Daphnia pulex: one gene and its partners. The protein of the gene in region 2 interacts with the protein of the main gene of each other region in a pairwise test. Links are inferred from orthologs where the notes say so. Each region holds a gene or a part of one and is shown on either strand. Other genes may lie near its edges.

Evidence for each region.
Region 1: the proteins of histone-lysine N-methyltransferase EZH2-like (region 2) and histone deacetylase 1-like interact in binary tests that used the Drosophila melanogaster proteins (3 or more experiments, as listed by UniProt). The link is inferred for Daphnia pulex from reciprocal best matches to the Drosophila melanogaster genes E(z) and HDAC1.
Region 3: the proteins of histone-lysine N-methyltransferase EZH2-like (region 2) and histone deacetylase complex subunit SAP18-like interact in binary tests that used the Drosophila melanogaster proteins (3 or more experiments, as listed by UniProt). The link is inferred for Daphnia pulex from reciprocal best matches to the Drosophila melanogaster genes E(z) and Bin1.

What each region holds. Positions count from the first base shown.
Region 1 is NC_060024.1:1,145,766-1,156,754, forward strand, and holds histone deacetylase 1-like, read left to right. Parts: upstream 1-5,242; 5' UTR 5,243-5,382; coding exon 5,383-5,434; intron 5,435-5,927; coding exon 5,928-5,956; intron 5,957-6,021; coding exon 6,022-6,105; intron 6,106-6,166; coding exon 6,167-6,284; intron 6,285-6,348; coding exon 6,349-6,524; intron 6,525-6,596; coding exon 6,597-6,776; intron 6,777-6,834; coding exon 6,835-7,036; intron 7,037-7,092; coding exon 7,093-7,342; intron 7,343-7,399; coding exon 7,400-7,458; intron 7,459-7,540; coding exon 7,541-7,694; intron 7,695-7,758; coding exon 7,759-7,985; intron 7,986-8,044; coding exon 8,045-8,130; 3' UTR 8,131-8,312; downstream 8,313-10,989. Other genes in the region: ribosome biogenesis protein WDR12 homolog, read right to left, coding at 10,224-10,353, 10,412-10,544, 10,613-10,859, 10,944-10,989. UniProt on the Drosophila melanogaster protein: Catalyzes the deacetylation of lysine residues on the N-terminal part of the core histones (H2A, H2B, H3 and H4).
Region 2 is NC_060018.1:4,493,009-4,504,114, forward strand, and holds the start of histone-lysine N-methyltransferase EZH2-like, read right to left. Parts: upstream 5,541-11,106; 5' UTR 5,191-5,540; exon of another isoform or gene 4,828-5,190; 5' UTR 4,627-4,827; coding exon 4,018-4,626; intron 3,853-4,017; exon of another isoform or gene 3,602-3,852; coding exon of another isoform or gene 3,560-3,601; intron 3,497-3,559; coding exon of another isoform or gene 3,494-3,496; coding exon 3,352-3,493; intron 3,281-3,351; coding exon 3,063-3,280; intron 3,000-3,062; coding exon 2,608-2,999; intron 2,548-2,607; coding exon 2,384-2,547; intron 2,269-2,383; coding exon 2,242-2,268; intron 2,151-2,241; coding exon 2,050-2,150; intron 1,993-2,049; coding exon 1,791-1,992; intron 1,731-1,790; coding exon 1,559-1,730; intron 1,495-1,558; coding exon 1,287-1,494; intron 1,210-1,286; coding exon 948-1,209; intron 883-947; coding exon 712-882; intron 650-711; coding exon 467-649; intron 403-466; coding exon 237-402; intron 171-236; coding exon 110-170; 3' UTR 1-109. Other genes in the region: ecdysone-inducible protein E75-like, read right to left, coding at 7,734-9,457, 9,527-9,701, 9,782-10,000, 10,671-10,909. UniProt on the Drosophila melanogaster protein: Polycomb group (PcG) protein. Catalytic subunit of the Esc/E(z) complex, which methylates 'Lys-9' and 'Lys-27' of histone H3, leading to transcriptional repression of the affected target gene.
Region 3 is NC_060018.1:4,701,339-4,711,054, forward strand, and holds histone deacetylase complex subunit SAP18-like, read right to left. Parts: upstream 5,922-9,716; 5' UTR 5,780-5,921; coding exon 5,696-5,779; intron 5,634-5,695; coding exon 5,527-5,633; intron 5,439-5,526; coding exon 5,348-5,438; intron 5,249-5,347; coding exon 5,054-5,248; 3' UTR 4,954-5,053; downstream 1-4,953. Other genes in the region: chloride intracellular channel exc-4-like, read right to left, coding at 1-40, 115-206, 276-450, 512-817, 2,317-2,379; uncharacterized protein LOC124210509, read left to right, coding at 2,851-3,788, 3,858-3,933, 3,997-4,188, 4,244-4,521, 4,583-4,931; protein toll-like, read left to right, coding at 7,054-9,716. UniProt on the Drosophila melanogaster protein: Involved in the tethering of the SIN3 complex to core histone proteins. Interacts with bicoid (bcd) to repress transcription of bicoid target genes in the anterior tip of the embryo; a process known as retraction.

The DNA of each region.
Region 1 (10,989 bases), on a different chromosome or scaffold from region 2:
TTTTTTCTAGGACACGTAGTGCCATAAGAATGCACTGAAAATAGGGGGGTGTACCTAATAGTTTGGTGGGTACTGTATATGTCTTAGGAATGCCTGTGCCTTGTTTTGTCCCTTCTGTTTGCGAAAGTTGTTCACGATCAGGAACATTGACACTAGAAGCAGGATCAAATGAAAACTACGTGATTACCCTTACTGGTAAAACTGTTTCCTGTCGTAAACATCAATTCAGATTAAATATTTAAATGTCACATTGTTTCAGGTCGCTTTGATATGAATGCATCGAAGTTAGTTTACATCCAATGTAAATTCTCTGTGGAATTAACCGAAAAACAATATGTACAGTCTGGATGGTGGCCAGGAGCTACTTCCGGATCCAGCTACCTCTACGTTGAGTCATTACTTGAATTTTGGTACCATTAAGACAACTAGTATTGTGGCGCTTCAACCAAAATGTTTATTGCCACTCTGAATAGAATGGCGATGAACGATCTAAAAGTATAATTGTTTTTGTTTGTTTTCCTACTTCGCATTTTTATAAGACTGTTTTTTCCTCATTTTGTTTATCGAAAGATGTAATAGACATCACACTTTTCGACAAAGCCAGTCGGGAGTACCAATTTCACAAACACGATGAGAATTTTTCAATCCGCAAACAAGATGAATTGAAATGTCCAGCCTGCGCTTGTGATTGCTGTGGGGACCCATTACATGTTGCAGAAAATCCGCTAGCCACAGAAAATTGAACAGTCTTTCACAAAAAGCAGTCAGTCCTAGATGGAAATTTTATACTTCCACGATTGGCTTCGGCCAGCGATGGGTACGTGTTGGATATAATTTTACTGTTTAAGGAGATAAGTGAAATTAATTTACCCACATTTTCTATCAATACAGAGACGGGCAGACTCTTTTGGGAGGTAAATTGATTGTCCAAAATGAATTGTTGACAATCATATTTCTAATATTGATGCTCAATATAGACCGGTATAATAATTGCTACTAATTTTTAAATAAAACGACACTTGTTGTTGAATCACTGAGGTCTATAAGCTTATGTTGCATAGGGAACTAACAGAACTCCATGGTAGTTTCTTTAATGCTGCCAAAGAAGTAACAAAGAAAAAGAAGAATGATAAAGAAACTGGTCTTCTCATTTCTTTTTGCCGTCATTTCGTTGTGCTCCTGGCTGCAAACATATTTTGCGGTGAATCTTACTGTCATGTTCATTTCTTGCACAATGAACTATACAAATTAGGTTACACCGTATTTTTTTACGATGTTTTCTGTTTATACTGGAATTGGGCCAAGAAAATTGGAAACTTAAAAGTAACAGCATTTGACAGATAAAATGATATCATTTCTTCCCCGTTGGCAAGGATTTGCCATGTTTGGCACTGCTAAGTAAATATTTCTACTTTTTAAAATTTATTATTTTACCAATTCATGTTAGATGCAGAATATTGGTCACGCCAGAGAAGGTGTTGGGGCAACTATTGGAGAAGAGATGGAACAAGGTAATGGTACGGTATCCCGATATGGAAATAAAGTAAAGCATATGACGGAAGAAAGTAATTTTCGTGACTTTTGTATAGAGAATAGAACGTATTAATTTGTCTATTTTCTTTCTTAGATAGGAATTACACGCTGACTTCTGGTTTGCTGTAAATGAACAGCGAGAGATTTCTCATAATGCCAAAATTTTTTGATGTCGGACATTTCGGCACTTTTTTCGGCACTTTTATTTTGCCCGTTTCGGCCCCTGTTAACTCCAATAGTATCCGTTTCGGATCTAAATCTTCCCGTTTCGGCACCGTTTTCTTGGATCCTTCAAACCAATCAGATTTGAACCGTATTCTGTAATGATTTTACTCAATTAGCTACAATTTGATTGATTTGATTTTCCTACAATTAGTGAAACTTGAATAGAATTGTGAGTAAGGAGAAGAAGCTTTTTTAAATCTCTAGTTGCTGATTTGACTAGAAGTGATAAAATGTATTAGCATTTATGCTACTGCTACTACAGCAGTTCTATATTCTGTGCGGCACTGCAGGTTGAAAAAAAATGAAATAAAGCTGATGCATAATGTAAGAAAGGAATAAGGAGAGAAAGAAAAACATACAAAATACTGAAACGTAAGCTTCAAATACTATGGCACGCACATGACAATTCTGAGATTTATACGGCCAAGCTCTTAACTGAATGCGCTTATATGTATACAAAAATGAACACAACTAGGTATACAAAAAATATAGGTGATGATAGAGAGTGTGAACTGGAGGCTGAATAGATTTGTACAACAATACATTGATTTATTGAGACTCGAGGCTGTATTTTAATTGTGAGAATCTCATTTTTTCTTTAGGCGTATTGTTTATAATACCCAATGCTACACGATGGAATGCATGGTATGATGCTGTTCGCCACGTAAATAAGATTGCCAAAAAATGGAAAAAAAAAGACTTGAAAGTTGTGACTACTTGAAAGTTCCCTGCCTGACAGCTACAGATTACTTTATTCATTAATGATTATGTTACTGTGATGCAGCCCATTGCATTTGGATTGGACATTCTACAGGGAGAGAAGGATGTTACTTCCGGAAACCTACTACCTTCCATAGTAGATATTGGGAATAGTTTGAATAATCTCAAGAATCGAGATGAAAACTCTAGCCATCCCCCTATTAGTATTTCACTCCCATTAGTTGATGCCTTGTTAGAAAGATTGAAAAAAAGATTTGACATCTTTCTTAGGCAAGAGAATTTTCAGTTGTCGGCTCACTACACCCAAAATTTAAATTGATTTGGTTAGGGACAAGCGAAAAAGATACCAAACTGAAGAAACAAATCATCAGCAAGATTGAAATCCATCTAACATATTTAGACGTCTCTGATTCTACTAAGGCAACAACCCCTGATGACCCTACTGATATTTATTCTGGGTTAATGTAAAATAGCAAGGGGAATTCTATTTTCCAACAAAAAGAAGGTTGAGCTCACTCGGTTTCTTGAAGCTAAGCCAATATACAATCTTTTCTTGATTACTTCCAAAATATAAAAAACTTGTTTTGGAAATTTAATGATAGCATTGCATCTTACGCTGTAACGGAAAGATTTTTTTCTTTGTTTGGGCGTGTGTTAACTTCTACTAGAACACTTCTTAGTGATACGATTTTAATTTTCTTGTTTTTCTTAAGTCAAATATCTGTCCTTTTTCTACAATAACTTAAATTAAATAAGTCATAATAATTGGGCATCATCTGGCAAACCGACCCCTTCAAAATCCGTTTCCCCTTGTCGAGAAAAACCACCGCAAGGGGATTTCGAACAAAGACTAGAGGGGAACCCTCCCCTTGGATCGGTTTTGGATTCGAAGGGGTGGGGAAACGACTTGAAATGACCGCTGAAATGTAGGAATTGATTCAAAAGCGGATTGACTTTGAATCAATACAAATGTCTTTCATGCAACAATAAAATAAAGAAACGCGTAGTCCCATGAGGCCCGTATGATGCTGGGGCGACGGGTTTTTTGGGGGAGCAGAAGCATGACAGAAGTAGGTGCGTGGTTGGTCTCAGCAGGCCCGTGGTTAGGGTATAGGGGGACAACACTTACCAGGACGCAGCCAAACAGACGAATTTCCCGTAGGGATTCTGTAGGGGAGACCGGACCCATGTTGGACACTGTTCCAAGTTGGACAGTGTCTTAAAATATAGTAAAAATTGCTTTAAAATTCTAGATTTCACATTGTTCTAGATGTGATGATGCTAGATCCTGTGTAGTTTAATTAATTTCCCGAGAGTAGAACGGGAGTTATAGGAGGAAGAAAAAACACGATAAATTATTGCAAAATTTTTCGCCCGAATTATTGATCTTGCTCCAAGTTTGTTTGAGTAAAAAAATTTTTAAACAAATGTTTTTAAATTATTTATTATTGGAAGAACTATCATACAAGGTTTTTAAAATAATTTAAAGACATTAATTTCCACCTTTTCGAACCCCGTCTAACTTGGTACAGGCCCCTGTCTAATTTCACCCCGGCTCGGTAAAAAACACCGAAAAATGGAAATCAATGTAAATTCTTAAATTTTAAAGTTACACATTTTAAAAAAATCAAGGGGGTGGAGGCAAGGCTAAAAAATGACCTTAGCCAAAAAAAAATTCTTTTGCCTAAGGGGATCGGGAGATATGCGGGAAAAACCGCGACTGTCCAAGAGGGGTCCGGTCTCCCCTACAGGTTTTTTGGCATACGGGAGGATTAGTTCCAATTTCGCCAATAGATGGCTTCGATTACTTTTTCGACAGTAGATGGTGGGTCGGTCGAATTTCACCAATTTTAACTGCGCGCGTTGAAACTGGCATCTAGGCTCTAGCGACTAAAAGTAAACTGTCATCTGCCTCTTTCTCTTCTTCTTCTAGATTTTTTTATATCTTCCCGTCCATCGATGACTGGAAAGAGATTCAGCTCTTTTCAGACCGACCAGGAAAGAATAACATCTGTAATAGCCTACATCAGCCAAAAATTTTTATTTTTATTTTTTGTCCGCTTGGCGCAACCTAAGACTGGTGGCTTTTTCAAATCTTATTTAGAAAAGAAACCAAAACGAAGATTTCGACATTTTTCCCCCTGCCCCTTCTCGGAAGACGAATTCGACTGCGCTGCTCCTTCCGGCGAGCCCATCTCCTTATCTCTGAAAACGTCTAACGGAGTTGATAGATCGTTAGATCTCCAGCTTAATGGCTCTGGTTTCTAGTTCCATACTCCTTAGTCCCTAACCTAATCCCTAATTTCTAAATTTATTATTTACTAGAATATGTTTATTTCAAATACCTTCGTATTTGGAAATTGATAATATAAGATTTAAAAAATATAACTGCGTAATTTTTTCATTTTGAAAATCACTTGTTTCGTGTGGGTTTTCCAAAAAAATCAAATTCCAATATATTTATTAAACATTATGTTTCCCAGAAGGGTTCCGACTTCTGAAAACTGATTATTACATATTCAATCCTATCAACAACATTCATGGAAAAATTGCTTCTTGCAATTAGTTTGACGTGATACTTTACCTTGACTCCTCCACCAGGGCAACAGATAATTATCCATTACTCTGCCTCCACTTATTATCATCATTTTTATAGTTTTGTAAGGACTCGACTCGAATCGAAGGAGATTCGAGATTTTTTGAGAGCTGGCAAATATGTTTCCTCAAATTCGCGTTTGAGGCTTTGGGCTATCGTAGTTAGTTTGTAGATTTGGCAACACTGTAAATGTAAGCATTCGCATTCGACGCAGCGAAAGCAATTGATGCTGGTGTCTTTTCTTTTCAGTGTAACTGTCGAAAAGTAAAAATAATTTTAATAAAGAATTGTGATTTTCAATTTCGAAAATGACTACTCAACCAAGTCACAGCAGAAAGCGAGTTTGCTACTATTATGACAGTAAGTTAGAAAAATAATTGTATCATGTATAATTAACGTTTCATGTCGCGTGTTTGACTGCCGGCGTCCTTTTTTAAATTAATTATTTCAGTGGTCATATTCTATTTATTTTATAAATTCCCAAAGATACTTGATTTTTGCTAAATTTATATACCTATCTATTGTGACATTTTGATGTACAAAATTTATGTGGAAGTAACAATATTTGGCAAGTGGGACGTCATTTATGCACAGTAGTATCACAAAGAATTATAGATGTTTGAAGACTGAAGAGCACATAGTATTAAAAAAGAAAGATATGTGGCTATATTATCATTTAAATTGGGTTTTATTTTTGAATTGCTTCAAAATTTTATTAAGATTTTCATGTCAAATTTGTCGATGAGGTTGTCGGGGGTATAATTGACGTCCTACTTGGTGGGTGGGTTGGCATTTTTATGGTGACTTTTCATTTTAACTCTTAAATTTGTAATTCCTTTTTTTATTAACCTAGGTGACATCGGGAATTTTTATTATGGACAGGTAATAATATTGAACACATTTATGTTAATGAAACTGTAATTAATAATAAATTTTTGAAATTGAAGGGACATCCCATGAAACCTCATCGCATACGCATGACCCACAACTTGCTCTTGAATTATGGGCTATACCGTAAAATGGAAATCTATGTAAAAATTCAAGAAGCTAGATGATAATTGCCACAGTTTAATTGAATTTATTTTTTGTTAGCGACCACACAAAGCCACAGCTGAAGAAATGACCAAGTTCCACAGTGATGATTACATTCGATTTCTTCGAAGCATCAGACCTGACAATATGACAGAATACAATAAACAGATGCAGAGATGTAAGATGTGTTTACAATTTGATCAATTTGAAATTGTGAATTAATTTATTTGTTTGTTTTTTAGTTAATGTGGGTGAAGACTGTCCTGTTTTTGATGGGCTCTACGAATTTTGTCAATTATCTGCTGGAGGTTCTGTAGCTGGAGCTGTGAAGCTCAACAAGCAAGCAACTGAGATAGCTGTGAACTGGGCTGGGGGATTACATCATGCCAAAAAGTCTGAGGCATCAGGATTCTGCTATGTAAATGAATAACTTAATAACAGTTTTTGGATATAACTTACTAACTAATGTTCATCTCTTTCCATATTTTAGGTAAATGACATAGTGTTGGCAATTTTAGAGCTTCTGAAATACCACCAACGTGTTTTGTATATTGACATTGATATTCATCATGGTGATGGAGTGGAAGAAGCCTTTTACACTACTGATCGTGTAATGACTGTTTCATTTCACAAATATGGAGAATATTTTCCTGGAACTGGAGATCTCAGAGTAAGAAGTTTTGAACTAAATTTTGAATAAGAAACTGTTATTTATCCTTTTGTTGTAGGACATTGGTGCAGGCAAAGGAAAATATTATGCCGTAAATTTCCCCCTGAGAGATGGAATAGATGATGAAAGCTATGAGCAAATCTTCGTACCTATCATGTCAAAAGTGATGGAAACTTATCAGCCGAGTGCAGTGGTTCTCCAATGCGGTGCCGATAGTTTGTCTGGTGATCGTTTGGGATGCTTTAATCTTACTTTGAAAGGTATGTGTTCGGAACTATTGTTTTTAGTATACATGTTATTATCAAGTTGTCTTTAGGTCACGCAAAATGTGTTGATTTTGTTAAGAAACATAATCTGCCTTTACTGCTGCTTGGAGGTGGTGGTTACACTATTCGAAATGTTGCCCGTTGTTGGACTTACGAGACCGCAGTGGCACTGGGAAATGACATTGCAAATGAACTCCCTTACAACGATTATTTTGAATATTTTGGTCCCGATTTTAAATTGCACATTAGTCCGTCTAACATGGCAAATCAAAATACTCCGGAATATTTAGATAAAATCAAGTAAGTTTTTAGTGTTTTATTCAAAGAATTATATGTTGAGTGACATGTTTTTCTTAGAACTCGTCTTTTCGAAAACCTCCGCATGTTACCTCATGCTCCTGGAGTCCAAATGCAAGGTACTTGCATTAAATTTAATTCTTCAATTGTATTTATTATTTCATTGCATTGCGTTTAACTGATCCAAAATTATTCTGACAGCAATTCCCGAGGATGCCATTAACGAAGATTCCGACGAAGAAGATAAATCTAATCCCGATGAACGTATATCTATACGAGCATCAGATAAAAGGATTGCACCAGACAATGAATACAGTGATTCCGAAGATGAAGGGGATTCCCGCCGAGATCAAAGGTCTGAATTCATTAATAAATCGTGCAATTTTTCATTTTTTCAATCATTATTCTCTACTATATAGATCATTTAAAGGAGCAAATCGCAAAAGACCAAGAACCGAAACAGCTGAGGGTGCTGCAGAGGTCAAAAAGGAAGAAAAGGAGGACAAAGAAGTGAATGGCGAGAATAAGGAAGGTACTTCAAAAGAGACTGTAAAGGATTCGGACAAGAAAAATGAGACAACACTGAAGTCTAGTGGTGAATCTTCTAGTGAAGGTAGTGCTTTGTCCATGGCGAATGAAATAAAAGGTTAGTGTTCACGTAATCGTGGTTATCTCAGATTTCTTACCAATTATATGTATTTTCAGAACCCGAAGAAGATAAATCTACATCGCATGAATTAAGCTCCCCTGTTCCGGTTTGCGCCGATAGCAGTAAAGGAGAAAAAGTTTGAAAATACCAATTAGGGTTTTATTTCATTTTCGCTAATTTTACACTGATGGTGATTCTTCGAGATTCATTCACATCCAATTTTCTACGTGTATCTTAATTAGAATGTAAACTCCGGCTCCTATCACCAACTGCATACCCTCAATCGGGTTCTCAGTCTTCAATACATTTTTACTAAGTTTTTCATTTTAGTTTGGTCTTTTTTCTACATCCTAAGATACGCACTTCACTTATGTTGAGTGCATACTTTAAAACTGGAATACTGATTCAACAACATGTAGCGTAACAGAAGCTTTAATAGGCAAGAAGCGTTTATTTTTAAGAATGATTTTGTAGGGAGAATCAGCGATCAGTAAGCCCAACCTAGTTGGTGGAACGTTGGAATACCGTAGGAAAAGTTTGAGGTTTTACTAGGATTAAGGTTGAAGTTAATAAATATTAAATACTTGAATTGGGATAGTGCATATTTTAATTTCAAAACTATGATAAATTTTACTATTCTGGTGTTAGGTTACATAGGTTAGATTACATATGTTAGGTTACAGTACTAGTCACTAGTATTGTTATCTAGTTATCTTATTTCTTAAATCATTATGTTTTTATAGGCCTCAATAATATAAAAAAATAATTCTAAAGGTTTCATCGATATGGATAACCGATAAGTTAAGGCAACTGGTGGTACCTCTAGTGCTTCGTTATTGTTTCAGTCACGGCTCCCAGTTATTAATTTGCAAATTATATTGTGATAATTTTTAAGTTCGTCGGTTTCGTAAAAAGTGGTTTTTAAAGTGGTGATTAAAAGTCCAACTGAACGGAAAGTAATGTATGTGAACGTGTTATATGAATTGCTTTCGTGTTTGTTGCGTTTAAACCGCGTGGTTTCCTGAGTTTTGATTTCCTCTTCTAGGTCAAGTTCGTTCATCCGATTTCTCCAGTACTTAATCCAATCTGGCATGAAGTCATTTTACAAAGATTCTTTCGATTGAGTACCTTGAGATCAATGTCTTTTCCAAAAAGATTTCCAATCAGCGGCATAAAGAGGGTTAGCCTCTGACCGTTGCTCCTTGAACTGCCGCACACAATCCAGCAGTCTCTCTTCCGGTAATTCCGGACACTATTTAGTTCGTAGCTGTGGTATAGGTTTCCAGCGCATCGAGCATCCCCAAGTGTTTTTGGATCTTCTCGGTGAAACGGGAGAAAGAAATCCGAAGTTGAATTTCAGATTTACTTCTGTTTTAGTTATATCAGAATATAATTTGGCATTTGTTCGGCAATTTTGCAATCGGCGAGTGCTGGTCTCAACGGAACTGCACTAAATAAGGCATTCCAATTTGTATCTGAACACGATGATTGGTAAAATAAACGGCAATACTTAACATGACAATCATTATTACCTTGAAGCGTATCTAAATCCTGATTTTCAGTTGGAATATTGTGAAACTCGTGGAATTCATGCAGCTGGATGTGTCTTACTCGTTCATTTCTTTTTTATTTCTTCCGTCACCCTTACTCCCTATACTTGGATACTTGTCAGCTTGAACACCATGTTCCCGCTTTTAAGCTCCTGTTGAACTCATCGATAAAATACTTGGTTAGCTGATACCTTTTGCTGGAAATCTCGAACATACGACTCATGACTCTGAGAATACGAATTCTGCTGGTAAAACTAATACCTAAAACTATGACTACACAATTCTCCAGACCGCGTTGTTAAGCTTGCCCCCTTGCAGCTAGTAGATTGCGTCGTTGAAACTTGGAAGTGCACACCTATCCAGCTGAAGCAGAATGTATCAAGCGCTGTGACTGGTTAATATGCAATCCAATTAATTTTGTATCACTTAAAAAAATGGGTAGGAAAAAATGTATAGGATTAAAACTAGACTTAGTCCATTCGAAAAATACAGAAGAAAAAAATATTACTCGAGGCTATATTATAGCTAGTACGACGTTGCCTTGTCGGCGGTACGCGTCACTGGACTACTGACTACTCTATACACCATGTCTATACTTCGTTTTAAAGTTAACTAACGGCCAAAATAGACTAATTCATTCCAGTTTCCAAAAATTTGTTTATCTCAACTTGGTGGCAATTTTAATTTATACTTCAGATTTAAAGATCTTTAACGTATTATCCGTTGCACCACTTATTATTATCGAAGGATTTGACCAGTCAGCGCACAGGATCTTGCCTTCATGTCCCGTCATGTCGTATAACGGAGCCTTGGGACTGAAAAGAAAAATTATTTCTCATTGAATTAACACGCAATTAATTATCAAATACTTGCCTCCTACTATCCCACAACTTTAAAATGTTATCATGGCCACCGGATACGAATAATCTTTCATGTGTCGTAGACCAACAAACCGTTGATACCCATCCAACGTGTGAAGTGAATGTGGCTTTCACAATTGACCCCTCTGTCAAAAAAAAAAATTGGAAATCATTAATGAGCCTATTAAAATGGTATAAAGCGCAACAGATGTACCTTGAGATCGGGCATCATACAAACGTATATGACGATCAGCTGAAGCAGTGATAAGAGTTTGGTTTAATGGAGAACGAGAAATGCAGAAGAAGGATTTGTTCCCAACAATTTCGGATTTTAATCCTCCTAATTCAGCATCCCACAATTTGATGGTGTGATCCCAGGAAGAACTAAAGATTTCATTGTTTTCAGTCCAAACAACAGAAGATATAGCTTCCTTGTGGCCAGGCAAAGTCATCAATGGTGTCTGTATTAAATAATGATTGAAATTAGTCTGTTCTAGCTTGACTGAAGGTATAAAATGTTGCGACACTTCATACAAAACACTTACACGTCTGAGTGATTTTCCAGAACCAGTAGAGCATCCTTTTTCCTTT
Region 2 (11,106 bases):
AAGAGTTATAATTAATCTAGTCGCGGTCCTTTTTATTCATAAGCTAAAATGTACTGGACCTGATGAACCACGTAAAGGCTTAGAACCACGCACTGCTCGAACAACATTTCTACAGGAATTCCCCTTCTCTTTCAATGCCAACAAATTTCAGTTGCTCTGTTGGGCCGTATCTAAAAACGAGGAAAACAAATTGTTTTAGACCACGTATTCTTATTGATGAACAAAGCAATTCTAACCTGTAATCAAAGAACAGCTCTTCGCCAGAGTGAATAAACCTTTTAGCGAATATACCGATTCTGTGGTCACCGTTCACCATCATGACTTTGGCATAACAGTTTGGGTTGATCGAATGATTAGCAAAGCGAATCTTGTTACCCTTTCTGGTGGCGTCAACCACAAAGTCTGAAACGAGACAAGCAAAATGAGTGTGAAGGTCGAGAGATTGAGGCATCAGAAGCTTACGCACCATTGTTAAGATTGAACAAAAAGGAGCACATATATTTGTCGTAAACTTTTCCTCGTCTATCAGCCTCGTCCTGGGAGATTATTTCACCACAGTATTCGGAAATGAATTCATTCTTCTGTACTGTTTCTTTCAAAAATATTCCCCAACCGGCAACATCGGAAGGGGCCATAAGCAGATGCTTGCCTGTAAACCACAACAGCACAGATTTAGAATAAAACGATTTAAATCACTTAGATCAGACGTACGTAATCCACGTTGAACGCTGACATTCTTGCAAGTGATTTTGGAAACATCATGATGATCCGCACCGCATGTCCCACATAAATCAGGATCGCATTCGCGAACGGCCAAGAAACAGGGGCACTGTTTGGTATTGCATTGAGCTTTGCATCGACAACCAGGAAATCGATTTTGACCTGATAGAGAAATTTAGTACTTAGTCATTAAACCGTTAATAGATAATAGAGATGTTTAAACTTACAGTCGGAACTGCACTGACAGAATTTCTCACAAAAATTTTGCGCATTAACGCAAGGGCAGGTGGAATCACAAGGCTGGCCAGGGTGATCGCAAGGCGTAAAATTATGAACGTGATTCGATGAGGCATCTTTTTTTAGCTGGATCTTTCGGCAGTGAACGGACCAGAGTCGTAGTTTCTTTTTCTTCTTCCGCGGTGGGGTGGCTTCTTTCTCGGTCTCCAGGGTTGGCAGATCAGCGGCTTCTTGTTGAGCAAACCGATACACCTGGCACAGTAATAAAAATGCGATCAAGTATTATACTGCCAGCAATGACTCGTAACTCAATTATCTATGCAACCCACCTGTTTACAAGTCTTGCTGAGGATAGTCTGCGCAATAGCACAGTAATTATTAAGGAAAATGGGATGTACTACTCGGAAGAGAGTTTGTTCCGATGGTGTCCACACAGTTTGCATGTCGGGGTCGATGTCTTTTAACGGATTCAACTCATGGGCAGGTGGAGCTTGCGCAAGGGGCGTGCTGGTACCGGATTCATTGGACTTGCTCTCCCTTCATGTAGAGTGTAACAAATAATGCATATTCCTTTAGTTGGAATTTGTTTATGCGGTAATACCTCGAAGGTCCAGGTTTTTCATTTAGGCTATTCTTGCGTTCAGGTACCAAACTCGAAGAACTATTCGAATTTTCATTGGACGTGAGTGGCGTTGAATCTTTACTGGGCTCGCTCACTTTAGGAGCAACAGATTCCGGTGGAGTCTGACTTTCCACGACGACCTCCATTGCACCTGCAAACAACGACAAAACAGTTAACATCGGCCACAAGTAGAGCACGTTTTAAATTTTACATTCGATTTCTTTGTCGTCTTTAACAGATTCCGGCGGATTTTGGTTATCCCCGTTCCCATTTTTGACGCTACTGTCGTTGCTATCTTCGGATGAAGCTTCATTACCCGAATCTAGCGAAACCGTTTTTCGGATTTTAAGAGGCTGCCCATCGGCTTCGTCACCTTCTTGCGCTGCTTGTGCTAATCTCTCTAACAGACCTTCCTGTAATAATGAATTTGAATAAAGACTGCTGTTAAACGTATAAGATCGGTATCTTACCAAGTACATGTAGCATTGCGGCCCACAAGGCTGTTTGGGAAGTTTGAGATCATTGCATTTTCTCTTTTGACTGTTGGGACCAGGATGATATGATTGTAGACCTATAATTAAAAACAGGTCAGTCATTTCTCTCTCACGACAAGTTAAAAAAAAAAAGACAAACTAAAAGTGGTGAAACAAACAGCAATTTACCTCGACGAGGCACCGCTCCTTGAGTTTCTTTAGAGAAGAAGATAGCGTCGGAAAGTTGAGTGAGAATTAAGTAAAGAAAACGTGTAAAGAAACGTTCAAATCTAATGAAGGATATTACTTGTAACGAAGCAGGCAAACTTACGATGAAGAAAACAGTCGTATTTAAAACATCGGCGACAAAACAGGGTGTGAAATGAGTGCATGGCTTGCTCCCTCTGGACGGAGGGAGCCTTCGGGCCGTCAATATTTGGAGTGCACTCGCTACCCAGAGCGACAGGATCAGCTCGTTCCGTCAATTCCATGTACCTGTATGAAAAGATGTTGTTTTATTATCATTACTTTGTATTTTTGTTTATCTGGATATACCTTTCTCTCAATTCTTCTGGGGTTCCTTTGTCTAGGAAGACAGAGGCGATTGCTTGAAAAGCAATGATGTTGGGTAGATCCTTCGCTACGGGCTGGACAGAGTCCTTGGGTGGTTTGTCTTTGATACTTGTCATGGCATCACGTGCTGCTTCGTCCAGCTTCTCAGCTTTGACGGATTTCGAACCCAAATCAGACCTTTCATCTTCATCACAATAGGGGACTAAGGCAGTGACTAGTTCCACAAAGATATCGTCATCGATGACGCCCCCTTCGCGATCTCCGTGAACTTTTCCATCGTAGTTCTTGATCAATTCTTCTATAAACGTACCATCCTGGTCCAACACTTCATCACCCATGTAAGGGATGTTGTGTAGAACTGTTTCATCCTCCACCTGTAGATGTGTATATGCTAGTTTCCATAAAAACAATAGGAAAAGAACATTTCAGTTTCATACCATAAAGTTCTGTTGGAGACCAGCCCATGAATACATGGTGGGGACAGGTGCTACTGCATTGATGATCTTAACAGGTACTGCTTTCTGATCGGTGTTGACACCCAGGCAGTGGTCAGGTTTGACTTTCTTCATGCACTGACTGTGCGCTGGCCAATCTTGGCTGCATGCCCAGAATGCTTTGCTCACTTCCCATTTCTTTTGGTTGGCAGCCACCCTCTCTGTGTATAAGGATTAAGGAAGATTTATTACACATGTGTTCTACCTCAAACTTTGAAAATGCCATGTATACCATTAACGTTCTTTCTGTTTTCGGACCATACAGCACGAATCTCATCAGCTCGTTTATACCTCCGAGACTGGCGAATTCGCATATACTCGGATCTCACACGCCGTTTCCATTCGGCCGAAATCTTGTACTTGGGTGCTTCATTCTGTGGAGATAAACAAGATGTTAAATTTGTATGAAACGGATGTCTAAGGAAACCAGATCACGTTACGGGAATAGCAAAATCAGGTGTATCGGTGGTCACGTTTTCCATCAATAACAATTATAAAATAACATAAAATGGGGGGATTCGTCAACACTTGTTTCCCAACTGTCACGCGTGAAGATAGTTGACAGCTGGAACAACATTGCCACTTTCCGGTGAACGATATACGGCCGAAATAACGACAGATCGTCGGTGAACATTCTTTATTACCAATCTCCGTCCAAATTACTAGTTATCACACCATTTTGTCGTAAAATAACGAGAGCCGGATGACTATTTGTCTGACAACAAAAATTCAAATGGCAACCCCGCTTCGAAAGGGAAGTGAAAAAGAAATTTCCCACGAAATAGCGCGGGATTTCTTTGTTCCCAAAAGAAAAAAATGCCCCGCGTTAATGATGTAAAAATAGGTAATATGATTCCATCAGCAACCAAAACATCAAACCGTTTTCCAATCAACGTACCTGATTATTAGGTGGCGAATCTGGAACACATTGTGGCGAATCAGTAGTAGTTGACGGTTGCACTGTAACGTTGGTGGGTTTGATATCCTCTTCATTGGCCTTGGATTTCCTTCGGATGACCATGTTATTGTTGGTCGGAGGTTTCTGAGATCTGAGTGCCACTTTGCCCTTGTTGGCATTTCGTGTTAACGTGTGAGTAGTTGATCCTTGAGCTGCACGCGTGGCCATTTTTGAGGCGAGAGAAGCTGCTCCTCTGAGACTGCCTGGCTGGACAGACGAAGAAGTAGCCGGTCGCTGATGAACCGCAACCGTCTGCTGCTGAGTGACTGTTGGCGTCTGCTGATGATCCGACGACTGGCGGTGGCGTCCCGATTTGGCAGAGGCGCCGCCGTTTTGGATGTTGTTGTGCGGCTGCGAGCAAATGTGACTGCCGCACGACGATTTCAATTTTCCGTCTTCCACCACGGCGTTGGCCCGACACCAACGATAGAAACACCGCCAATAAACCGTATTGCCTGAGCGTCGATTGATTCGATACTTGCATCCATCAATGACCAGTGCAACACCACCCAACCGATTCTCCATAAATTTCACTTCTTGGGGCGCCATGATGCGGCCAAACAACAACAACAACAACGAAAAACAAAACAATTTCGTTTGGCCGACACTTTTTTGAAACAAAACAAAATAAATTTTGTTCGTGAAGCTCAAGTGTAGGAAATAAACAATTTCGACACTGTCATTTTTGCCGTTGAAAAATTCTTGGCAGCAGCTCACAAACTTGCCAACTCGACGATGTACCTCGACAACCTGGCGACCAAACGGAGAAATGAAGAGCAACGAAAAAAAACACAACAAGTTGACGGGCACAAGATTAGAACTCGACAAGTAGAATAGACAACAAGTTTCTTATAACACACTCTATCCCCCTAGTCGTTTTTCGACTATGCACGCCATTTCAACATACACACGCCAACCAAGGAAGAAAAGATATTTTAAAAGAAGCCTTAGGGATTGGGCTGCTGCTGTTGTACGGGTGGTGGTGGGTTGTAATTTTCGACCCCCTCAAGGAAAAGGAAGGGGAGGAGTGGAAAGAAGAGAAAGGATACATACGGAGAAATTGGGGAGTTGTAGGAGAATGAGTTAGTTATTATACGACCTTCAAAAACCTACCCACACAGCCGTTTGGTGTGTGTGTGTTGTAGACGTGTCACCCTGGGCAGCAGACGGATCTCTCAACAACACGAGTTGCGTTTCTCCAAAGATGTGAGCGTGAGAAATGGCCGCTGCTGCTGCACCGCCCGTTTTCCTTCCTTTGGCATTTCCTCTCTCCGTAGATTGTGTGCGTCTTGCAAGTTATTTTACCGCGCCTTTTTGCTTGTAGTTTATTAACTGACTCTCTCTAGTCAGATAAGATAACCGGGTCTTGAACAAAAACGCACGAGTCCAGTGGAAAAATAATATAGCTGGTGGTGGCCAGGAAAGATTTTCTAAACCGTACAGACTGGACGACCGTTTGGTTGTAACTAACTACCCAGATGGAACTGGGGTGAAAAGTCGAGACACGTGCCGTTTTTATTTTTGTAATCGGGGGGAATTTTTCAAATGAATAGTAACATGTATAACTTTATTTGACATTGAATAGGTGCTGCTGCTCCTACGTGTACATCAATAGAGTCCTAGTTTTTTCGTACCATTCCATCGAGAGATTTTTGGACCGGGAAACAAATTTAGTTGTGCAAAAGTGATCAATGTGGGTTAAGGTTGTTTTGGTTGAGGCTTTCGATTAACACCTTTTATTGCGATTGATTTTGTGTGTCACGAAAACCCAAGTACCTTATCGTTGTTGTTGCTCCAACGACAGCCATCTAGCGGTCAAATTTGAAACTTTTATTTTTGAAATTTCGAAAATAACCGTTGACCGTTTGTTGGAATGTATACCGACGATGGGTGTATAATAGAATTCATTTTGTAAATAAAAATAAATGAAACAAAAACTCGATTTGACATTCTTGCATAATTGTAATGTCTAGATTGCGCACGTGAAATGCGCTACATTAACCGGTCATTAGAGAACACACGGCACGTACAGTTTTGAAATTTTTTCCGCAGATACACACACATTACACAGGCATTCCGTTATAGAATTATATATGGAGGGTAGGGAGGATGACAATTTCTTTCGATCAACAGAAAAAGAATTTGCAAATAGAAAACCGAAACACGCAACAATTGAAAAACAGAATTTTGAAAGTAAACGACAGAGAGAGAAAATCACTTTTGTTTCCATAATTCCCACAGAAAAACACAAAAACCGAAATAAAAAAGTACAGAAATTCCGAGTGCATTGCAACTCATGGACACAAGTTACAATTTAGAAAAAGGGAAACTTGACAAAAGAAAAAAGTTTTATCCATCACTCGGTTTTTGTTTTTTTGCCCTCCCCTCAACCAATCCGAAAAAGAGACCCCCGAAATGTTGACAGAAACACAAAAATTGACACACTATTAGATTTTTTTGTTGTAATAATATATATATATATATATATATAATATATATAAAGATAGGGGGTGTAAAACATACGAAGAAAAAGGTGTGTCTTCCACTGGGATAAAACAATCATCAATACGATTGCCACACTCACACACGGTAAACATGGAAGGAGCTCCTGCCCAAATGTTTTCAAACCCTTCCATCACTCTCTCTCACTCTGTCGTTCACAGGAAATGGGTTGTCCGTCGTAAAAATCACAAAAGCATACGAAATTGTTTTCTTTTTTTTTTTGTTTTTGTTTGTTTAAGGGGACAAATTTAAAATTATGAAACGAAAAAAGAAAAAATCATGTCGAGATCGACCGTCACATGCTCGTACGGGAGTTGTACGGGAAATTAATTTTTAAATGAAAAAAAAAATTGAAAATATTTTAAACAAATTTTTTTAGGTCGAGCAGGTGTGACGACAAACGATACACGGACAATTTCTTGATAGAGGGCTTCTCTCTAAATTTTTACGAAGAAGGAAATAACCTCGTCGAAATAGTGGGCGATTTAATTTAACAAACATTCTCTTTCCTTGTTGTCGGGATTCAAAATAAAAAATACAGCACAGAGAAAATGCGTCTTGGACGCCACCGGCTAAACACAGCAAATGAAAAAATAATGTTCCCGCAAAGAAAGTTTTTGAAAAATTTAAAAGAAATGCGCGCGCGCCAATTTCGAAATGGGACTGTTTAACAGCGAGGCAAATTCCGCGATTCGAGTTTTTTTTTTGTTTTTCCTTTCAATTTGAACGAGGAAAATGGATCATATCATGTAGAACATCAAACTCAAGTGTATATACTATGTATATATATATATATAAGATTCGGTCGGGAGTGTGGGGGGGGGGATAGATAATTATATAAAGACCGAGTAGAATAATCGACACTGATGCTGGTGATAACGAAGAACTAGTTTACAGTTTCTTATTCTGTACAAGAATTTTTTTTTTTAAAGGGTGTTGGTTGTTTGCTGCTGTTGTTGTTGTTGTAGTTGTTGAAAGGGATCGAATCAAAAACACGGCTGACGATGCAACCAAAAAATGGGATCCTCTTACGCTTAATAGTTGCCCCATCACCCCCATGCCTCCTCCTCCTCACCCCATCCAACACACACACACACACACACATACACACACAATCCACAGGTACGGTGAGAGAAACTCTTCGTCAATCATTTTTAGGCGTGAAGGGGGAAATAGTGAGTGTTGTTGTGTTGCGTGACTGGCGTCGTTGGCCTGGCCGGCGACGACGAGGGCGACTTGAGCGACAAATTCAACGGTTGTGAATCGCCTCCAACTGAAGAAACCGATTCCGGCTGTTGTTGCTGTTGTTGTTGTTGTTGCGGAATTCGGCTGCTGCTGGGACTTGGGCTAGAGTGGTGATGTGGAGGAGACACTGGCGACGACCTCTGGTGGTGGTGGTAATTCCAGCTAGATGGCGAAGATGAGCCGGCGTAAAGTGGACCGGAAGTCAAAACGGTTCTTTGTTGTTGTTGTTGTCCGTTACTGCTGCTGCTGCTGCTGGAAAGGGGTGACAGACAATAGTTTTGGCTGGACGATGAAGGTGTGGGCGATGAGCCCGTCACGTTGCCCTTCATAATGTTGGCGACGATGAGATCGGCGCGGCGCTGCTGTTCGGTGCTGACCATTTTGGGACCTTCCATCAGGGAACGGGCCAGGGTCGAGTGGGTCGACGTCAGCGAACTGACGACGCCCGAAGACAACGAAGACGCCAGCAACGAAGACGACGACGTCGACGGAGGTGACGTCAAGGCACTGCACAGGGCAGAGTACGTGCCCGGAGGGGAACTGAGAGCCGCAGACAAGACGCTCACGGTCGACGTAGACGATGAAGAGGAAGAGGTCGGCGAGCTGCGAGGAGGCGAGCTAACGGCCGGCACTCGCATCGGCGATTCTTCGCCTTTGCTTCCGGCGCAACGCGTCAGAGCCCGGAATTTCTTGTGCGGTTTGTACGCCTCGTCCATCAGAGAGTTGGTGTCGAAAAGAGGCGGAGCCTGAAGGACTCGCTTCAAGACGGGCATGTCGTCGACGCTCGACTGGCCTACACGGCCACCGGCCGATGGAGCCGCATGATGATGATGATGGTGGTGATGATGTTGCATCTCATCCACTTCCTTGACTTTGTCTTCCAGTGAAGAGCGCGGTGATGAGCAAAGGGACGTGTTGGTCGACCGGGAAGCCGTCGACATTTTCTCGTAGCGATCCACACCCGATTCGATTCCGGAATCATCCGGAGAATCCAATTTGCGCATCTTTGAATAAGGGCAGCTGCTGCCAGCATTGCTTCCGGCTCCAGCGCTGTGGGTCCGCGGAGGCGATTCAACCATCCTCATCAGAGAACGGCCGGTGGAATCCATTTCTTCACCGTCGCTCGACATGGAAGATGATCCGTTCTCGGACGGGCCGCGAAGTCGGCGTCGGTGTGAGCCGCCAGACATGAGCGGCACAGCGCTTCCGGCAACAGCGGCCAATAGCGGCAAATCGCTCATCGACGAGGTGCCTTCGACGCCGGAGCAAATCGATTCAGCGCCGCTGCTGGACACGGATCCCATCGGACTCTTGGCGCCACCTTCTTCGTCGTAGCTGTCCCTGTCATTGTGCCAAGGACTGGCAGTCGGGGGAGGAGTCTGCTGCTGCGCATGATGATTATAATGTTGTTGTTGTTGTTGCTGCTGTTGTTGTTGTTGCTCAGTCATCTTGAAGGCCAGCAATTTTTCAGAGTGAAGGGTGTTGAGCGTGCGCAGGTCGGGAATCTTGCGCAACAATTCCAAAAAGAGTCCAGCCTTGTCAGGATGGGCTTGATTCAAAACATTCTCCAAGACGGATCGCAATTTCGATTGCATCCGCTCCACCAATTCCACATTCCTCAATCCGGGTCGATCTGAAGAATTTCAATTTCATCTCATTAATTCAATGTCGCAAATTAACATTTTAGTTTAAAGAAACTTACCGGCAGCGATGACGACAACGGCGCAAAAGAGACCCAATTCAGAGTCATTAAGTGCCAGGCTGTTGAGTCTCTCGGCAAATTCAAACATGGAATCCATTAAAAATCGGGCGTTGGACGAATTGTGAAGGGCGTCCCTTCTTAGTAGTTGGCCGTTCAAGCACAGCATGGTGTTGCTCTGTAATGAAAACAATTTAAATCAAAATGAATATCAAACATTTCCCAGTCGAATTTTCTTTTCGTTTTCTTCTTATTTACCTGTGAGTCAAACATGGCGGCCAATCGAACGAGAAGTACTTCAAAGACTCCGGGTTTCAAGAGCGTGACTTTATCGTCTTCGGCCAATAGGGTGAAGCCGGGCAAACGTTTGGCGAATTCCACCACATCGCGGATGGCCGGAAGGAAGCGCTCGGAGAAATCCTGCAGCAATTGCTGTTGGCCGTTGGAAGGCGCTGGCGTCGGATTCAACGGGCAAGCCTGTGGAATAACAACACAGAAAAAACCGTTAGACACCCAATCATGAAAAAACGCAATTATATGATATTTATTCCCCCGGACAAAAACAGCTGCGCACACACGCACGCACGCGGAGGATTATTATCGGGATGTCGAAAAAGATTCGTCCTTGAGGGGGGGAGAGCGGCCATTTTTTATTATTTTTTCGGTGGAAACAAACAAATGGCCCAGCACTGGCAAACATGGCACGCGGCATATGTTTGACCTTGGTATATAATACAGCTGCAGTGCCTTCCCGTTTGTCTTTCCGCTTCGTCAACATTCACGCCAAAGTTGCGTGAATTTTTCCATTTCAACCTCCAACTCACCCCACTCGGGACAGTTGGAATTTCAAATTGTTGTTGACGTCAACACAATTTTACTTTTTCAAGGTCTATGACGAAATATCCCAATCACTTTGGAAACTTTGAGTTGGTAAACAGAAAAATGGCTCCCGCCCGCCCAACCTTGAACAGAACGTTCGAAAAAATTCTCTCATGGTCACGACCCAAGGTCGGGACTTTTAACGCCCTTCCCTTCACCTTATCCGTCACCCACCGGTTAGTCAGACAGTGGCCGTCAGGAAATTGGCATCAAGGGCAGGACATTTATGCAATGCAAAATTCGATGATGAAAGATCGGCTACACTTACCAAAGTGGGTGGGCAGGCCGTGTAGTTGGGCTGGCGATGGGCATCGGCCATCAAAATTTGGACTTTTTCGCGGGTGAAATCGCACGTCTCCATGTGGGCACGGACGACAGATTGCATCAACTGAACTTCATCAGCAAATTCGGCCGGAAGCGAACGCTCAGCCAGTCTGGCGTTCACCGACTGCATGGCCGCCAAAATCTTGGCCTTTTCCCGCTTCGGTACACGACCAAATCGAACAGCTATAACAAATAAAAATAAAATAAATTAAATTAAATCCACACACACAAAATCACTTTTCAATTCACACCATTATTATCAGGGCCTGCAATTAAAAGTCTTTTTAAAATTGGCCATTCTTCTTCTCCGCAACGATCCATCTTTCATTCCTTAAAACACTTTCCTATTTCTCTACTAATTCAATTAAATAAAACTCGAA
Region 3 (9,716 bases), about 210 kb from region 2:
GCTTGTAGTGGTTGATGATATCCTGGTCGGCAGGACAAGACTGAAATTTAAATTAATAAATGAAATTTCATGAAAAATTACGAAATGTTGAGAAACCTTTTAAAAATCACGTACCTGGGTGAACGCATCCAAATGATACATGTGATGCATGTAGCGCCACAAATTAGCCAAGTCCGTTGGAATATCAAACTCCATAAAGTACTTTCCTAATAATACGATAAACAATGTCATCAAGCAGTAAAAAAAATTTTCAAGCAGTGCAATGTTCTACTAACCTGCTACTCGAATATGTTGCAAACGAGGCATTAATTCACAATCAAAGCAACAAAGAGTGTCTCCTGTTAGGAACCGGTTCCCCCGCTTACCCAAATGCTCATCAATTTTACTCAATTGAGACAAAAGGGCGTTCTTCGACGCTTCCTCTTTCTTCAGCAACATCAACTTGAATTTCTATTTAACACAAAATTTGATTTGATTTGTATCGATTTCAACATTAGGGGTAAAACCTTACGCTGTAAACGTTTTCAATACGGGTAGCTACGTCTTTATCTTGAACAAAGAGATTGTGACCGCCTGGAACATTTTTCATGATGTGTCGTTCAATCTTCTCATTCTCAAGGACAGCAAGTCCGTTATCTATCAAGATTGGTGGTGGTGTGGCTTCAAAGTTGGTTCGGAAGTCGGGTGGGGGCTTCAGCATATCAACCGTTGTTACTTTTAAGCTGATAGTTTTAAGTTCTGCCAGTAAATACAAGTCCATGAAATATTCCTGGCAAAACAAGCAAGCTCCTTTGCGGCGACCGTCTATTGTGGAGGCCTGTATGGTGTCATAAATAAACAAATTTAGTACAGTAGGACGGCTTTATGAATAGTGAAATGACAGTTGACGTCATCAGGACCTTTCAATATCACACTTATTTGTGTACATTTCTCATTTCTATTTGAGTATTTGTTTCCTATTTACATCTACCCCGGGAAATTCCACGAATAGCGCCTCGCCTCCACTTTGACTGCTACTTCCGGATAACATGACGCACTGCAATTGGCCAACTAAAAAAGTTGACCCACGCAATGTCACGAAGAGAATTCTTGTTCTGTACTGAATCACAATGACGAGTGCACATTTTATGCTAGGAATTCAGATATATACAGTAGGCGAACGACGATTATAGGGATTCGTCAGCTACAGAAGTAATACTGTGTTAACTTAGCGCAGGACTCATTAAATGAGGACACATGAGGGGAAAGACATGCCACTGACAAGTAAATGTTATCGGTCAGAAAAATAAAAACTAGGGTCTACGGAACTCGCTAAGTGCAATCAACCCCTGTTAGATATAACAAAGGTATTAGTTGCTATGAGAACCACACAAATCAACAACTAAATAATAATTTGGTTTGTGAATTTTAGAAGAACTTTTTTAACGTCCTAAACACACTGTCATAGCAAACAAAACTTTGATTTTATGAGCAAACAGTCAAGCCTATGCGAGGGTTGGTTGAACTGCATAACAAACAGCGCCCACGGCAGCAAGAATATGTAAAAATAGGCCATCCTCTATGAGGTCAGCATCACACACACACAACGTCAATGCAATCCACAAAGCGTCCCGTTTCCTTTTATTTTTTACTTCTATACAGCCCTCATCACATGGCAGGTGTAAAAAATTTTCTTTACTAGTACCGAAATGTTCCTATTTTCAAGCTGCAGAAAAATTACTGATCAAAATGCATCGTCAGGCTCTATGTTGTTGTTGTTACTTTAGGGCACAGGGGAGTGGAAAGGGGAAATGCTGTAGGTACCGGAAACCTAGTTTGACTAGAGGTCGAGAGCCAGTTGTAAATTCCTGGCTTTATATCGGTAATACCGAGGCCCTGCTTACGATCCTACAGCAAATATTTGTAAGAAACGAACCGTCTTTTACTACACAACATTGTACGCGCCCAACTAACATTTCGAAATGTTATGGCACCAACCAAAAGGATGATAAGAGAATACTCGCCTAATCTTCGACAAACGAAAAAACACGTACGTCAGAGAAGAGTTTTAGGTTTAGCACACAATAAGACTTATCAAATGTTGGGAACAACTTCTTTCCTTGTTTGACGAAATTCACAACAATTTTGGGAGACAATCCTGACAAATTGCTGTTGTGACAGTAACATAGCAGGCAAATCCACCCAAGAACATATCACGGAATGTTTGCACGATTTGGGCGTGAAGCTTGCTGGCCTAATGCCGAAATTATTTGGGACGCGACTTGGTTACTATACAGTGAGATTCGCGTCATTCAATCAGTTTACACCATTACTCACTTTGATGATGAGCTCGATTTCGGGGATGTCTCCTTGGCTATTCCCGTTGGCGCTGTCGGACATTTTAATGAAGGTAAATGTGGGCGTCGAGAATGAACAGACTTGTCAACAAATAAGTAAACGGTCGACGGGCAATGGGCAACTGACGTCTGGTTTTTTCTAACGTCCAACTCTATTCACGCCCTGACAGGAATACATAAAGAGAGAACTGGCAATGTTGTATTATTTTGTAATCGAGTTTTCTTTAAGAATCGATTACCTTTTGAATATTTCAACATTTTTCACTGTTAATTTTTGGTCACTTGAGTGCTCCTAATTAATATAAGAATAAGTACTTCTTTACACAAGAAACTTTTTTCGACTGTAATGATTATTCTAAAATACCGTTGTAAAAAGCTAGAATCATAACGCTATCACTGGCAGCTGGCAACTTTGTCCTGTTTACAATTTTGAAATACACAATCGTCGTCTGAATTTCTCTTTGTGATTTGTAATTGCAATAGTTAGTCTTAGTTGAAGTAGTTTTATTACGGAATGGATATAATTTCGAAACATTACGAAGAAGGCCACTACCGAAAGTGTATAACAATTTTGTCTGATTTACCAACTCACTCACTATTTGAGAAATGTGTGGTGGAGAATAATGTTTTAGTATCCAAATTTCAAACATCTTTCGTGCCAGGAGATGATTTGCTTAGAAAAACTGTTTCCGAGGAGCTTTTTCAATTGCAGGCTAAGCTGTTAGCACTTCCACATGAAAAAGAGTATACCTTTTTGACTTTATGTTGCACTACCAATGCTATTTATTCACTGCTGAATTATCAATGTTGTGAAGAAAATGGTGTCAAAGCAGTCCAGATTGGAAATGGGGCTTTTGAAAAAGTGCTTTGCAACCATCAAATATTCTACTATCAAGAACAACACTCAATTGTTGACAAATTTATTGGCTTGGTGCATCAATTACTTCAGTGTAAAAAGCTCAAGTCAGATGAGCTTTCACTTCTACTGTACTGCTGTATACTCACTTGTTTAATCAAACTTGATCTAAGGTTTGTTGAACTGGTTAAGAGCGTTCTAGATATTTTAGAATGCAGCCTAAAGAATGAATCACCAGATGTAAACTCTACTCACATATTTCTGCTTTCTCCACTTGAAATGTCACTACAATCTACTGGAAGTTACTGTTCAATCATTTGTGATTTTTCAAGACTTTTTCTTTCCATGTTTTACTGTACCAACTTGTCTTGGTCTGAAGCACTTGCAGTCAAAAGTCCACAAAACACAAAAATGTCTGAAATTTTTGAAATTTTTAAAATGTATGCAAGTCTTCACTTAGCTAATCCTTCAAGTGATGAGAAGATTGAAGAATATTTCAACGAAAGGAATAGTTATCTATACTTCGCTAGGTGTCTAATCAACGCAGCAAAATTTGCTTTACTAAAGAAACCAGTCATTGCATTAAAGTATTTAAAGTAATGCTACTTGATGATACTGATTTTCAATGTGCAAAATTAATAAAGTAATTGTCGTTTGAATTGTAGTTTTGCTGGAGCAGGAGAATTAGCCCAAACGCAAGCCTGTTCAATCGTGATGGCTTACGCTGCCACTCAATTTAAAGTATGTCAAACCTGTATCTGCAACCAACTAAAAATTTACTAGTTTTTAATTATTTAACTTTAGGTTTTGGATCAAACCAATTTCGAAATTGAAGCATTGAAAATAGCAGAGGAATCATTACTAAAAAGCCCAGTTTTTCAATGTTCCATTCATACTGAACTTCCTGGATTTCTTCTTGGACAGATGAAATTATTCAGCCTTCCTGAAGTATCAGTCTTGAGATACCAATTGGCTCGAATTTTTCTGAAAAACCAAGTAACGATATAATATTATCTTGAATTTAAAAAAACTTACCAACGAAAAATCTTAGCGATATCAAGAAGCCGCAGAAGAATATGAAAAGCTGTCATCTGAGACTCACTTCCAACCTAAATCGGAACCTTTTTCTTCAGTTTTCAAGCTTGTTTCTCCATCTGAAACTATTGTTTTACACGAGCGTATCCTGGCGCTCGTTTTGTCAAATAGCTACCAGAAAGCTTTGGATGCGATTGATTCATCCCTAGAAGAAGATTTGTTTACCTTGTACCTTCATGCTCAAATCTGCGCACATTTCAAGCAATACAAGAAAGCTATCCAGCTCATCAATAGGTATTATAATTAGTTCATGAATATAAAGCGTAACTATTAAAAACCAAACGTTATTTTCTAGATCAATTTTGCAACTGAATTCTATAACCTTTGCTGTGAGTGGAACGAAAGATGTGATCAGATCCCAATTATGTTTTAAACTGTCGCAATTATTCGATGAAATTGGAAATTTGAAAGACGCACATCACCAACTAAGGCTGTCCTTTCAATATGGCATTTCTATGAATTGTCAAATGCTAGAATTCTATCATAAATTTACATGTAAACTGGGAGCACAAAAAGAAATTCCAATTCCGTCTGATTCTCATCAAGAGCAAGAGGAACTGATTGCGACAATTCTGGAACATTCGGATGACTTAACCCTTAATTACTTAATACGGGATTCTTATGCAGCGTTTAGCCTTCCATAAAAAAATGCAACTGAGAAATACATTTTCTATGTGAAAATTTTTTACTGTCAATTATGAAAATGACTTGGAAAAATTGCTGGAAAAAAAAAACAAGAATGCCGTGTCGATAAACAAAAAAAAAGTTAGTATGGCCTGAATCTCCTGTTGCTTTGATTATTCATATTTCTGCTGGGTGGAGTGATGGCGATGTCAATATAGTCTCCAATGGTAAAACGGCACTGTTTGAGGGTCTTCATATCATCTGGCCCGCGTTCTCCTGAGATTGTGGAACCTATTTCACGTCGAGACATGCTTAGTGTGCTTCGGTCGGGGAATACCTAAGCAGACAGAAGAAAAGAATGATGTATAATGATGAACTAACAAACAAACACAGCAGTTCCTCTTTACTTTAAAGTACTGTATGAACTAGAATGTACCTGAGCAAAGGAAAAGCGTGTTCCACGGCGTCTGGCTTCATAATTAACTTCTCTCACCAATCCAGTAATTTCTTGAAGAGTGGCATCCATCCTATAAATGCAAAATGCAAAATTTCATGAATTCTACGATTACACATAACTTTAGCCGTAAATATCACTTTTTCTTGGGATTTCCTTACCATGTATAAATTTGAAGCTCACTTGCTGGCACACTACCTCTTGCATAATCACCAAGACTATGGTGTCTTCCCATGGCACAGAAAACACGAAGTAACAATGGGCATGTCTGCAAAGAAAACTCAGTTCAGTCATATTTTAGATTAGAAAATGCAAAAAATGTTAGTCTACCTTTTCTCTGTCAACAGATTTTTCAGTTTCTCTATTTTCTTCTACTCGAACGGCCACAGCAGATTCTACAGTTCCCGTAGCCATTCTGTATGGTTTTAACTTCAAATTACTTTTCACAAGGTTCTTGAATAGTTTTAATGATTGAGTTAGAAGAGCCGGGAGAAACAAGATTATTCTGTTTCATGGACGCGAACAACTTCTGATGAGACAGCGCCTCAACCGGCTGATAGTGGCAATTTGTAATTTTGCCACATTGCCATCATGTGAATAATGTCTGCGGAGTGCGGGACGGCCAGGCGGGCCAGCGATCGAAAATGAATTACGGCCTTACCAGAGCAATAGATCCCTGGTCGGTTCACGGCTGTGTTGGCTTCCCCATCTCGATTTTAGGGTAAACGTAAGCCGATTTTCAGGGGGTTTTAGGGCGGGGCCTGTCAGAATTGTGAAGTGGAAACTTTAAAAAGAGCCATCTAGGCTCTCAAAAGTAGCTGGACGTTGTAGCTGACACACTCACTAGAGGCGCTTTTTAAAGTTTCCAAATCGGCTTACGTTTACCCTAAAATCGAGATGGGGAAGCCAACACAGCCGTGAACCGACCAGGGATCTATTGCTCTGGCCTTGCCTTACGCATTTCTTATTTAATGTAATAGTCCGCATCTACGCGTACTAAATACTAACCACTTCAAATAATTAGCTGCAATTTAATTGAAGAGAAGATTGGATTGGTGTTTATTTTTAATTTCAAACTAAGGATTAATCATTCAGAATTCGAATCACAATCGGAACTTTTAATCATGTTTTAATTAGAGAAAACTATGTTTTAACATTAATAACGTATGGCATTCTATCAACGGAGAAGTCTTTTCAAGCAAATATGTTGTCTAAAAATTATGTTTTTCATTTCGTTCTGAGTTGTGAAAGCTTAACCACATTTTAACTTTCCCTCGGCTCTGTTTACGTGCAATAAATTCATAATACGAAAGGAAATACATTGCAAGGCCTGTTTGATCGGGGTATCACGTAATGTCACAATCTACGGATATCAGAGAGAGACATCTATGGCTGAAAACATCGTGAAACTTCGTTCACGTTCATTGTGATTCATGCTGGGTAAATAGAATCTAAACAATCTAGAATATAGGTGGCAGGCGCGAACAATGATCACAATAGACTGCAACCCCCCTTGCCAACTCAGGCCTTTGCTCACTTTGTGATGTTGCTATGTTAGAAAGTTCGTAGAATCGGGAAATGGGAACGTCACATTGTAAACGTCAAGGTCATGAATCTCGTATCGCCTGTTGAGTGTTGACTAATGAAATACGTTTACTCTTAAAGAAAAAGTATGTAACAGTTTAGAAATGTCCTACCGTTTTGTGTTGTGTTGTGTTCTCTTTCAAACCATTGTTGTCAGTCAAGAACTAAGTGCTGCTATCGACCAGCATCCAGAAAGTTTTTGGAAATGTTCTCAACGTGAAAATCCTGAATGTCAATGCTTTCCGAAGACAAATGGCGATTTCAACTTACAATGTTCAGTTGGTGAGGGTTCTATTTCAGCAGATTATAAAGCTCTTAAAGACAATGGTGACAGTTCATTTGAAATTCAGTGTTCATGTGATGAAACAAACCTTCTCACAGAATCTGTTTACAAATATGTTAAAGGAATTCCAACTAGCAATATTTCATTTCTGAAATTCAATTTCTGTCCGCTTCCAAAGGATAGTTTGTCCACATTCTTAGGGAGGCATATGAATCTCAGCTTCATTCAGAGAATTGCACTTCGTTCATGCTCTCCTGTTCAAACTCTTCATCATGATTCATTTCGGAACATGCCACAACTTGAAATTCTAAATTTACAGAACAATCAACTTGAAAATTTTCCAGATGATTTATTCGATGATCAATTAAACTTGAAGACACTTTGGCTAGACAGTAACAAACTTCAAAAAATAAGTGGCAAAATATTCAAAAATATTCCTCAACTAATTTCCCTACAATTGGGCTCAAATGTAATAAAACAATTAGAAATCGGTGCCTTCAGTAATCTCCCAAACTTGTTTCAATTGAACCTCCAAAACAATCAACTTGATATACTTCCTTCTGATGTTCTACAATCCCTGGCAAATTTAAAATATCTAGATCTGAGTAATAATAAGCTAACAAGTTTGGACAAGGATGCTTTCCAGTTCAACACACAATTGATTGAACTTTTTTTGCGAAATAACTCGCTAGAAGTACTGCCAGAAGGAGTATTCCGTAATAACAAAATGCTGGAAAAGATATCTTTACAATTAAACACCAAGCTCTCTACTGTTCATCGTGGTGTCTTCGAAAATCTAGAGTCTTTGATAGTCCTAGATTTGAGTTATTGTTCCTTCAACCAGTCGTCTTTCAACAAACATGCTTTTTCAAATTTAACCAAACTTGCCAAACTTAATCTGTCACGAAATAAGCTAAATGGATTGCATTCAGATTGGTTCATTGGACTTACCAATTTGACCGATTTGGATTTGTCGTGGAATTCGATTTCAAGCATCGAGGATAATATGTTTAGTAACTTGGGACTTTTGAGTACTCTCAAGCTCAATGGAAATACCCTTGTTCTAATTGAAGCCAACGTTTTCCGAGGCATTCGAGCCTTGAAAAGCCTATATCTTGAAGATAATCAAATTGAAGTTATTCAACCAGCAGCCATGGAATATTTGAAAGAATTAACTACTATTAATTTAGCACGCAATCGCCTGAAATTCGATGAAGGTCTTGTCAGTCCTCTCGACGGCTGGAGACAATCTCCGCTACAGTACAACTTAAAATTAGAATTAATCGATCTGTCTGAAAACCAAATCGCTGATCTATATTCCGACTGGGGTTTGATGAAATCGTTGACTCGCCTCATCTTGAGCCACAATCAAATGACAAGTTTTGCCATCTCCGACATATCAAGATTATCTCCGACACGAGACTTTATTTTGGATCTTCGTAACAATCAAATCACACAAGTATATTTCCAATCGGCCGAAGAAGTTGACGGACGATCGGATGATGGAAAAACTGAAGATCCTATCGCGAAAAAGATAGTGTTTCTTGATGATAATCCCCTGTTATGCGATTGTGGTGCATACTTTATGGCACAGTACATGAACCGATCAATGCCGGCCGTAAGGCATTCTTGGAAGATAATCGCACCCAAGCTAACCTGTGAGCAGCCAGCCTCACTTTCCGGCATCGCGCCTACTGAAGTTAATCCTTCTCAGTTTCTTTGCAATTGCCCTGCACACCCTGAAAATAATTGGCCCTGCGAATGTTACCTACGACCAGTGGATAGAACAGTGTTGTTTAACTGTCAACACAAGAACCTAAAGGAAATCCCTACTCGCTTACCCCAACTTGCCGGCTACAAGGTTCAAATGAATCTTTCGTCCAATTCGATTAATATCGGACAAGTGAACCCAAACTCGTTAAACTGTTGCACAGATGTGACCACGCTAGACTTGAGCAGAAACGGAATGGAGTCTTCAGTGTTTGATACTCTCAATTGGGCTCCAAATCTACTCCTCCGTTTCCCTAGTCTCAATCGACTAGACCTTACTTATAACAATTTCAATTCGATTCCTAATGGAGTTATTGATGCGTGGAATGGAACGCGCAATTTAACTTACAGTTTAAGTGGAAACCCTTGGAGATGCGACTGTACAAACCTGGCGCTACTGAAATTCATATATGGTTCATGGAAACGCGTGGAAGATTTCAACCAGATGAGGTGTGATAACGGACTATTTATTTCTGAATTGTCTGTTGAAAAATTATGCCCTTCGCTGAATGCCGTGTCGAAATATTTGACTGTAGCGATGCCAGTTTTAGCTTTGCTGGTATTTTGTATATGCACGATATTTTACCGTTCTCGACGAGTAATACGTGCCTGGCTTTACAACCACCAATTTTGCTTATGGTGCGTTGTTCAAGAAGAAGAAGAAAATGACGATCGAATTTATGACGCTTTTATCAGCTTCTCTCACAATGACGA